3 linked regions of the Lepisosteus oculatus genome follow. The main gene of each other region encodes a partner of the protein of the gene in region 2 in a complex. Links are inferred from orthologs where the notes say so. Each region holds a gene or a part of one and is shown on either strand. Other genes may lie near its edges.

Region 1 (3,751 bases), on a different chromosome or scaffold from region 2:
CGAGGGAGAGCCGTTAAAAACACCCCCCGCACACGAGAGTTGCCCGCTTGTCTCCTCGCTGCCTGTGCTCAACTCGCAGGACGAGCCCGGCGTGGAGGAGGAGGTCAAAAACACGTAACACTGCGATATTCCCAAGACAAGCGGGGCCAATTTCACTCTCAGGCAGCAGCTAGATCACCGGTATTCAGTCTGGACTGGATGATGCGATCTGAACCAGCTGTTCACTTACGTGGTCTGTATTAACACGGCGTCCAGGCCTTTCCTGATGGAGGACATTCCTCATGTAATCTGGGAGACCGCAGGACCGGCACAGAGGCGCAGTCATTAGCGTTGCTGCCGCGCAGCGCTGGGGTCCTGGGTTCAATTCCCAGACTCCCATCTGTGTGGAGTGAGTATATTCTCCCTGTGTTCCCATGGGCTTCCTCCCACAGTCCAAAAACATACTGGTATGTTTATACGCTTTTGGGAAAACTGGCCCTGGCGTGAGTGTCTGCCCTGTGATGGACTGGCAGCCTGCCCAGGGCGTCGCCTGCCTTGCACCTGTTGCTTGCTGGGATAGGCTCCGGCTGCCCACACAAACTCTTACTGGACAAAGTGGCTCTAGGGGCTGATGTCAGCAATACTGAAGAGGACTCCGGGTTTAACACCTGATGGCTAAATACTGGGAAACAGCAGCACTTAAGACCGATTAAGTCCACTTCCGATCCAGAAACTAAAGAGATCGAAGGCGGAATGAAGAGCCGTTCCCAGGAGCAGGGGAGAGCGTGCCCTGAGCACACAATGAGGGTACCTGCTTCGGGGACACGAGCCTCTCCTTCTCCAGCGGGTCCCCCGCCGCGCGCACCCGCAGGGCCGCGAGCCCCAGCGCCCCCGGAACCGCCGCCAGCGCCAGCACCTGCGGAGCAGAGCAGCGCCCCCCGCAGGCAGTAGGTTAACTAGCGCAGCGCTGCAGAAAACTGTGGTGTGTGGAGGCGGGGGAGGGCAATTATATGACAGAGATTTTTATGCACAGCAGTTACGCGGGGCACCTTGATTTTGCAAACGTTCTCGTGTTCAAAGACCTCTGGGATAATGACGAGAACTGGACACAAGAGCACGATCGCTTTGAACGCATCTTGCTGCAACAAGGGATTAAGCAACATTTTTATTAAATGAACAAGTAACAGGTTTATTCCATGCTGAAAAGAGAAGAGAGAAACACAACGTTTCGGCTGTGAAGCCTTCTTCAGGCGTGTGACACGCCGAAACGTTGTTTTCTCTCTTCTCTTTTCAGCATGAAATAAACCTAGTCGCAGACTACGCATACTAACGCAGCTACGCACCTGAACTATTTTTATTAAATACCCACAGAACGCTGTAGCTACGTTATCAACTGAAATTTTCAAGTTTGCTGCCACCTGCCGTTCTCGCAGAAGTGCGTCTCATCCAAATGACAGTATAATTCAACAGATTAGTTGTAGTAATCAAACGCAGTTTAGCTACTTTATTACTGTTCTTACGTGTCCTGTCTGAGATAGTCTTACTGAACACGACACACTCAGCAATAACTGCCGAACATGTGACTCACAATCTGATGGGTGATCAAGCATTAATATCACTTTCTAGCGCAAACATGCTTCATAATACTTTAGTTTTTGATAATCATAATTTTAAAGTCTCCACTATGCAGTTTTAACATAGCAAAAACATGTTTTTTGCAAGGCGAAAGAGGTTCAGATTGATGTGCTGCATTCACGTGGGTCTAAATGTTTTTATAACTGACAAAATAATTGAAATACAACAATACGGATAAAAACTGTCATGCGATTTTAATGTTTATATACCATATAGCTTCCTACATATTTAGAAAAAAATGCATGTAGTACGTCAATCAGATTAGAGTTTAACAAGACTGATGATTACTTGGCACACTTTAGACTAAGTGAAATGCCGGCAATCTCCAGCTGCGTCACAAAAGAATCACACTGTTTCCTTACAATAAAAGAAAAAAAAAGTTTCTCATTTAAGTTTTTAACTATCAATAATTTTTTCTCCAAATCTACTCGGGCGAAATGACAGAACAGTAGCTGACAGTAATGAGTCTCTCGAAAGCGATTTAAATGCTATTAAATAAACCCAAACATATAATAATACTTTAACATAAAATAAGATCTTAACCGTTCTTTCTTATAAAAAGGGGTTGGTGGGCAAATAAGTGAATGAAAGCTCCTGTTGCAAATATATCGGGGGAAAAGCTCCCCTCTCACCTTGGCTGCCATGTCACTCCGCCCACCGCTACAACTCGTCACGAAGGACAAAAAGGTTTTAAACCCTCCTTCGTTCAAAATGCGTTTTGCGAGAGACTGTATTCGCTCGAACTCCTTCGCCGATGAAGAGCTTAGATCAGAAATAAAGCATTCGCCTTGTTATTTTAACTGGCTTAAAAAAAAAACTATTCTCCGCCTCCGCTCGAATAACGACCGTGCACATAGTCCAAAATGACAGCTAATGTAATTTAACCAAGGTTGTTTTGATTGACGATGTAATAGATATTATTAGTGCTGCACAGAATCAGTGTATCGATTTCCAGTTTTAATCGTAAATAACGATTGAAACGGGTATTTTAAAGCAAGGGTTCCCAAACGTTTTCCTGGAAACCCAGTGTGTCTACAGCTTTTTACTCCAGCTGAGCTATTACGAACAGATTGCGCTCATTATTGACTTAATTGGAAAAGGTAAATAACTTCTCTCCTGAGGTGCTGTTGCTTTAAAAAAACCGAGCCAGCTTCGTGAATGAACAGTGAATCACGAACCAGAGGGGACAGATGGACACAGAGGCATCTCTTTGCACAAAGGGTGGTAGGAGAGTGGAACAAGCTGCCCAATCACGTTGATGAAGCTGATACCATGGCTTCTCTCAAGACACAGCTGGATGAGATCTTTAGATCAATTTGCTACTAACTACCAAATGGACTACATAGATCAAATTAAATTAACATCTCACACATTCCAGTATTCCTTTAACCAGGGGTGTCCAGCCTTGAAGAGCCCCAGTATAATAAATATAATAGACATTGCATCACGACTTTTAAATATCCAGTTCTATTAAACTGCGGCCAATTAAACAGGCGATTTGTTAAATTAAGTAGTTTAGAGATTATTTAAGATACAACTCAGGATACCCATCAACCCTCAAGGAGTAAAGTTGCTTTAATTAAATATTTTAGTTTGTTAGTCAATAACTTAGAAGTCTTCTTAATCTTGTTTAAAAAATCAGGTGATTTAGGGCGATTTGCTAGCTCCGTAAAGTTGGCCCCCCTACAGACAGCACAAATGATGAAACCCACCTCATTCGTTAGTGCTACGTTTGTGCCGGTTTGTGCCTTTGACAGTAGCGTTTGTGCTGCTTTCGTTCCCGAGATATAGAGCCTTGTTTTTCCGGTGATCACGTGACCATGCACGGTGACTTTGACCTCCAGTGACCCCGTCTGACGAGTTCAAGCGCTCTGTTACAGTTTAGCTCGTATCCGTAACATTATAAAGTCAATCAATATCCATAAGCATATGAGCCTCCTTAGATGTGAATAATACTAACACATGACGCATACCAACAAGTTAACCATCTATGACATAAACCTGTAGTTGTAATATATGTAAAATCACCGTGATTGTAAGATCTATGGTTTTTTATTTTCTAAGGCACGTTTTCCTTTTTTCCGCTGTTGCCAAACGCATAACTGCGGCATACTATCGCGACAAGACTTCCGCAGCA
Region 2 (3,751 bases):
GTCAATGTTAGATCGGAATAGCTTATAAAAAACCCGCACGGCCCTAATAATAAAAATAATAATAATGATAATAAACTTTATTTTATATAGCACCTTTAAAGGTAGCTTCTCAAAGCGCTTAAAACCAATTAAAACCAATGAAAACACCCACCTTCTGTATAATTCCTCTTCTTTCACTGTGACTGTGTGTCCCGAATGCATCTTTGAACCTACAAACAACAAAAGAAAACATCTTCATTATTTTCTTTCACATTTTCAGATTAATGTGATGTTGTTAAAATGTTTGACCACCAACACATTTTGTTTCACTGTTTGTTAAGTGCTTTCACATTAATTAAATGTATTCGCATTTAATGTAATCTTAACATCTTTCTCCAAAGAAAACTCAATCAACAGGTAAGCATCTGCCCCTCATTCACTAATCTTCAGTTAAGCAAAAGTATCAGTTCACCCGAATCACTCTCATCAGTATGATGGAATTAGAAATAAGCAAAATTGTTGAAAAGCTATTTTATTTTTTTTTATTGAAATTCTTCTTTTCAAACTTTTTGTACCATCTCTATTATTACACCTATTGATGAAACAGTAACTTGTAAATATAGTTCACACAAACAAGACAAGACCTGAGGAGTCTTTACTGCTTTCTGTCTGAGAGGACGACCACTCGTCTGAAGCAGAGGGTTTGGATTCGGCTGATTTTTCTTTCATTTTCCTGATGACATCCTCCGACAACTGCCCAGAGAAAACAAGTGTGTTATCATTTTGTCCAGGAAGCGAACCCATACATGTAGACAAACAGCACGTGTAAGTGACAGTAATGCACTTCTTTTCAGTGCTGACTTCACGATTTTAAAGGCTAACTGGACAATGTTCCACATAACAATGTTCCACATAACCCCCCACAGTTTTCACACAGTTTCTTCCCACAAACTGTCAGAACTCTACCCCTACCACTGGCTTTGTATGTTATTTAACTTGTTGTTGTTGCTGCTGTTCTGTGTTTATGTTTTTGGTGATTCTTTTAATGTCTTTCTTATGGAGCACACATGCAAATATGCATGCACTTGTGCATATGACAATAAACTGAACTGAACAAACAATCAAGTCTCAAGGCTGTGTTAAGTAAATTAACTGCTGTCAGAAAAATGTACAACATTCAAAAATCATGCCACCTCAGGACCTTATTGCAACACGTTTTTGAAGAGAAGCAACTTTGGGCCCAGACATTCCTTGAACAGAAAGCAGCTACACCAGATCAGGTCGCTGCTGGAAGTGGTGCTTAAGGACCAGCAGGTGAGATTCGCAACTCTGCACCACTAATTCCAAACCTATGCCTGCGTCTGGAGATTCGAGACACTGAGCTTAAAGAGGTACATATTTTTCGATGACACAAAAAACAAGGACCTCAACACCCTGCAATCATAAACGATGCAATCGCTGTATTGTGAATAGTAACCACTGCTTACACAAGTTGAAGAGCACTTGATGAAAGCATAGCATTACAGGCATTTCAAGACAGTGAAATACGAGATTAAAAGGCAAACATGCTCCAAAACTGGAACACAAATTACCACGTTTATTTGGTGAGTAATTTAGAAAGTTAATGTTATATTTCAAATAAAAATGAATTGGGCCTGTATGAGAAAACAGCTATTGTTTTTGTTTTGGCGTGTTGATCTACAGGATGACCGTTTGTTTTTGCTTTAACAGTAACATTGGCATTGTCAGTTTCGGCAATTTGGCAGCATTTGAGGCAGTCAGCATCCGATTTGCCTGTTACAAAGCAAGACAGCTTGCAAACCTGCAAGCATTTATCAGAGGTCAACTTTGGTTTGGTGCCGAGAACTGTATAAAGCCATGACTTATGGGATGCTTCCCTAGCCCACATAAATTGCTCCATCCGATGTTAGAAGACAGGATTGCATCTCCAGGCGTTTGTACCCAGTATAAGGTTGTCGAGCTAGACTTAAGAGGTGACTAAAAACCAGATAAAGCTCAGTTTCCATTTTTGCATTTGCTATAAACGTAATACGTTCTCCTTAGCGTGCAGGACCTTTCCAATAAGTTTGCTTTTTGGCAATTGTTCCTTCCTTACCTTGATTCCGTGCAAAACCCTCACCCTGTCTTCCTCGTCCAAACCAAAAGACACCTTTCTAGTTACACTCTCACTCCCTCCCATTGTAAAATGCTGTCCTTCAGTACGACCTTCGGTTATTTTGCTTGGATTATTAAAACACTGATATTCCTCTGCAACCACTTGAAAATCTATGGACCTTTCAGCCTTCGCTCCACATGAAAAGTCATTTTTTTAACATGCCAGTATTGTGAAATGCAATTGGTAGACGTACATGGGAAGCCCAATCACATTGCAGAATGCTACCGAAGGGAACCGGATTCAAGTGGGAACTGTAGTTCAGTAAAAGCAACAACTTTCAGGCGGGGCTTGTTAACGTGCATTATCCCTGTGAGCCTGTATTATCTCAGCCATACAGTGAACATTTTATGTAGCGTCGGCTTGAAAAACGGATACATCTTTCCATTCGTTATCTTTTAAACGGGAACGGGAGCAAGTACAATAACTATACACAAAATCGGCTCGGGAAAAAATGAAAAAGGAATGCCTTTGAGATATTTAGAACCGTTTCTAAATGATTTAATAGTGATTATTATGTACATAGAGATAAGTTATGCACCGTTTTTGTTCAGAAATACTTCCTCCCGTCAACAGCTGATTATGCTATTAGAGATGCAACCAATCTGGTTTCTAAACAGTATTTGTCATTTGTAATTATTGTTGGACATCACAGGCCTACATTTTAATAAACTAACAAGGTGTCATTGCAAGAATTAAATGACACTGGAAGTCTGGTGGTTTTAATTACATTTAATAAAGGATAGACATAATTGTTTTACATATAATTAATGAATAATAATTGCTTACACTTACATAGCGCTTTTCTGGACACTCCACTCAAAGCGCTTTACAGGTAATGGGGACTCCCCTCCACCACCACCAATGTGCAGCATCCACCTGGATGATGCGACGGCAGCCATAGTGCGCCAGAACACTCACCACACATCAGCAATCAGTGGGGAGGAGAGCAGAGTAATGAAGCCAATTTATAGAGGGGGATTGTCAGGAGGCCATGATTGATAAAGGCTGATGGGAAATGTTGCCAGGACGCCGGGGTTACACCCCTACTCTTTTCGAGAAACACCCTGGGATTTTTAATGACCACGGTTTTACGTCTCATCCGAAAGACGGCGCCTGTTTTACAGTATATATATAAGTCCCAGTCACTACACTGGGGCATTAGGACCCACATGAGCTGCAGGGTGAGCGCCCCCTGCTGGCCCCACTAACACCTCCTCCAGCAGCAACCTTAGTTTTTCCCAGGAGGTCTCCTATCCAGGTACTGACCAGGCTCACACCTGCTTAGCTTCAGTGGGTTGCCAGTTGTGAGTTGCAGGGTGATATGGCTGCTGGCTACTATATAGTACCATTATAATTATATACAAAAACAAAGAGTTTCAGAGTTGGCACTAAATCGTTTTTGACAATTATGCTGGTCTGACTAATTGAACCATCAAAACTTAAAACTAGTAAACTAATAATCTGTCTGCACATTAATTCACATCTCATGTTTACTTGATTTTGACAGCCTTAATTACACTCCATTTCAACGTTTTAGTATGTCTAGGTTACAGAGCGTCCCAATCCGAGAGGGAATTTGAAAATTGGGAACTAGAA
Region 3 (3,751 bases), on a different chromosome or scaffold from region 2:
TCTCAACTTCGAGACGATTTTGCCGATAAATGAGACTTACTCGTTAACTCATGTTGGGAAGATGCCTGGGGGTGAAATGTCTGCTGCACAACCTGTAGTTATTCGCTCACAAATCACATCAGTCATTACAGGGACTAGTGAGCAGGAAGGGCCTCCCCGTGTCAGAATTCTCGTGAACTCTCGCTCTCGCCCGTGCCGAGACCTGGGGTTTGCAACACTATGGCTACTTATAGCACTTTCACAAAGTTCACACTTTTTGTGCCCAATTCAAAATGTGTACATTTTTGTTTTGCTATACTGTCACTGAATTTATTTGGTTACCGAGATTCAATAACCGGTCTGGGAAACTGGGACTGCTCCCCCTTTCCAGATCAAGGATGAACCTGCTAGTACACACAAAACTAGAAAAACTGAGAGTTTGTTTGCTGTAGCATTCCTGCACTACGTAAGCTCTTACCGGTATTCCACGTTTCCAAAGCGGAAAACTCTATTTTGGGAGGAGAAGGAAGCTGCAGTAATAAGGGAAGAGGAGAACATGATGGTTAAACATTGCATCGACAACAGCCTCTCAGCACCAACACCAGTAAAGCTAGTTACAGCCTTTAGAAAGGACCTTGTCTCCGAATCACAAACTTTATTTAGTCAGTTCTTGATTCGGGGTCTTGTGATCCCAGGGTTTTTGGTGGAAGTTTACTTCCTGCACCTCTGTTAATGTTTAATACAGTCCCCGAGTTGATCTCTTGTGCTGGATGTGGGACTTTTCCACCAAAAAGTGGGCCTTCAAAACCGGAGTAATTATACTTCCTATCCAGATAATTATGTTGATTACGTAGGAATGAAAGATGTTTTTCGAAACACAAGGGCTGTGCCCTACACCTGAGGGTTCGGAGATGGGACTTATCTCTCTAAAAGAAATCATGAAAGCCAAAATACAGCACTGCACGACACTGGCACAGTAAAACCGCACCAGTGCTTGGCTGCTTCACAAGCACCCAGTATGTCGGCACAAACACAAGATCTTGGCCTCACCTCCCATCCGAAGTACTTCATCCACTCGTCCACAGCAGGGGGGATGGCAGCTTTGGCCTTGGTCAGCACCTCTGAGCCCTGGACACTGTCCCCCAGCAACCTCTGGTCATAGGCCACGTACACTGCCCCGCCGGCCACACCCACCTTGGTGACCAGCCTGCATGCCACAGACAAACCACACAACATCTAAATGAAAGCCTTTGTTTTTAATAAATGGATTGAATGAGAACGTACAACGGGTTGCTTTTATCAATCCATTTCCTAACTGATTTAGCCAGTACAGGGTTTTCAAGAGAACCAGAGTCTATCCCAGCAAGCACTGGGCGCAAGGCAGGGTACACCCTGGACAGGATGCCAGTCCATCACAGGACAAACACACACGCACTCACTCACTCCAAGACCAATTTTTCCAGGAGACAGTTAACCTACCAGTGGGAGTGGACTGTGGGAGGAAACCCATGCAAACCCAGGGAGACCATGCAAACTCCACACAGACAGAACCCTAGGAATTGAACCCTGGACCCCAGCTCTGAGAGGCAGCCCTGCTAACCACTGTGTCACCCTGTTGCTTTTATCCAAAAAACTAACAAGACAACCATTGAATCTTAGGGTAAGTGCATTTAAGATTGACAACAGAAAGTGCCACATTACACAAAGAGCTGTGGGAGTCTGGAACAAGCATCCAGGTCTGTTTCTCATGGTGATATTGAAATCCTTTTAAAAACTGGCTGGGTGAGATTTTCCTAATATGCTTTATCCCAGCACATAATTTCAATATGATGCTGAACTTGATTGCTAAACAATCCTAATTTGTAATGGTAAATCTAGGTTCAACCAAGCTAGGGAGACTTCTAGTTCTCCAGCGTCCTCACCACTCAGAGGGGGGGTTAATTGGAAGTGTAATTTGGGCGTGTTCACAGATGTGTGCAGTTTAGGAGTTAGGAACGCAGCTCCATGGCGTAGTTATTTAAATTGGTATTTCTTTATATATCACTACTTCACAGCAATAGTTTAACAAATCTGCTATAACTGAGCATTAAACCTACACCGCTAACGCACAGTTTGTTATCACTAAGGACTGTATACAGATACGATTAAAAGAAAACGCACTTTCAAGTCATGTTCAGAACAGCCGAGCTTGAATTTCACTGCTAGTTTATTTCACATCTACGTAGTACTAGATTTCACCGCCTACACATGGATCGTGACATTATTTTCACAGCAACTAGCAGAAAAAATTGACATACATTGAAACTTGAACTTTGTATAGTGCTGTCACAAGGAGGCCGGAGGAATCAACTTACTTTATTAATGGGAAAATCCTGGGAGCCATGAGCCAAAAACGAAGTAGAAACAAACGTAACAATGACCGAGCAGAAACGGATTGTTAAATAAACGAATATATTTGCAGCCCAGGTGTTTTAAAAACCGTAGTCTGCATTCGCATTTACAAGGACATCGAGAAGGCAGTACCAATGTGTGTTTGCCGTATATCTCAATAAAGTTTTTTCAAGATGACCTTCGACTCCCCTTTAGAGGTTACCGTTTTACATCGGACAAAGCAGATTCTTTCAAATTAAGATTATTTAAATTTAGGACTTTCATAATTCTTTCCCTCAATTAATATGCATTCTCAACATTTATTTTTGTAGAGACTTCTTCAAACATGCATAATCGAAGACCGCACTAATCTTTGCAAGTGGGTTCTGGGAAATGTAGTCCTTTACAGATTCTCTCACCGTGAGGCTGTGCGCAACCCTCACTCTGTAGTGAACTACAGTCTCTTGAACTCGTACCATTACATACTCAAAACCTGTCTATGAACTGTTCCTGTCCAAATTCATACTGGGTTACTAAAATGAATAAGGAATTACTCTTAAATTATATAACAAAATAAAAAGCAACAGCGTGTTGTAACTGTGATGATATCAAATTCTTACAAGGTAAACATTCCTGACTCCTTAATTTACCGTTCTAATACAGATTCAATCGGTTTATTGAGTCTTTGAGTCACTATTTTATTTGTAAAATAAATTATGTTTAGATTTTACGGATGCCTAACACGTTGGGTAAGAAAAGCGGATCGATTCATTTAACTTGTTTTCATTTTTCAAGCTAACCTTTATCTCCCAGTAGGTTTCAACGTGATAATGTGCAAAACGCTACTATCGGTACACGATTTGCCAACAGCCTGTCACTGGTTAGACACACAGACGATTCGGAGACGTGAAGCAAAACAAAGAGTTTTAACTGTGTGACTACCAGGAGGGCAGCAAGTCGAATCAGGAGCGCCTCACTTCACTCAGGGAGTAAAAATACCAAGCAGGGAGTTTCCTCCACGCACCTGTTCACTGGCGGCAAGAATGATGTAAATACTTAAGACGTGAGCTTTTTGTTTCTCCTCTTTCCAGTTCTTAACCGATTCCGTATTAAGGGCGATTTGAACGAGACAACTGCTTTGGCTTGAGTACATGAAAGGTGTGGAGTTTTGTTCCACTCGGGGAATGTAACAGGCATTTGGAGGTGGGACTGCAGATCTGTGGGGACGCTGCTCTTTGCTCGACACGCTCACACCTGCACAAGGCAACAACCGAGAGATGCCGGCTATGTTAACTGGTGTGTCTTTGGAAGGTGTGTGTGTGTGGGGGGAGCTCCAGATAAAAACGCCAAAGGGGAACCATGCAAACTCCACACAGACGATGCTTCAGAATGGACCCCAGGA

What was found.
Region 1: chchd6a (region 2) and apool share a complex: the UniProt entries of both Homo sapiens proteins name them as parts of the mitochondrial contact site and cristae organizing system (MICOS) complex. The link is inferred for Lepisosteus oculatus from reciprocal best matches to the Homo sapiens genes CHCHD6 and APOOL.
Region 3: chchd6a (region 2) and micos13 share a complex: the UniProt entries of both Homo sapiens proteins name them as parts of the mitochondrial contact site and cristae organizing system (MICOS) complex. The link is inferred for Lepisosteus oculatus from reciprocal best matches to the Homo sapiens genes CHCHD6 and MICOS13.

Annotation. Positions count from the first base shown.
Region 1 is NC_090703.1:46,869,371-46,873,121, forward strand, and holds the start of apool (MICOS complex subunit MIC27), read right to left. Parts: upstream 2,327-3,751; 5' UTR 2,259-2,326; coding exon 2,247-2,258; intron 896-2,246; coding exon 791-895; intron 1-790. UniProt on the Homo sapiens protein: Component of the MICOS complex, a large protein complex of the mitochondrial inner membrane that plays crucial roles in the maintenance of crista junctions, inner membrane architecture, and formation of contact sites to the outer membrane.
Region 2 is NC_090699.1:61,089,262-61,093,012, forward strand, and holds the start of chchd6a (MICOS complex subunit mic25a), read right to left. Parts: upstream 2,324-3,751; 5' UTR 2,180-2,323; coding exon 2,096-2,179; intron 733-2,095; coding exon 624-732; intron 210-623; coding exon 152-209; intron 1-151. UniProt on the Homo sapiens protein: Component of the MICOS complex, a large protein complex of the mitochondrial inner membrane that plays crucial roles in the maintenance of crista junctions, inner membrane architecture, and formation of contact sites to the outer membrane.
Region 3 is NC_090724.1:7,891,005-7,894,755, forward strand, and holds the start of micos13 (MICOS complex subunit MIC13), read right to left. Parts: upstream 2,539-3,751; 5' UTR 2,363-2,538; coding exon 2,334-2,362; intron 1,187-2,333; coding exon 1,030-1,186; intron 510-1,029; coding exon 458-509; intron 1-457. UniProt on the Homo sapiens protein: Component of the MICOS complex, a large protein complex of the mitochondrial inner membrane that plays crucial roles in the maintenance of crista junctions, inner membrane architecture, and formation of contact sites to the outer membrane.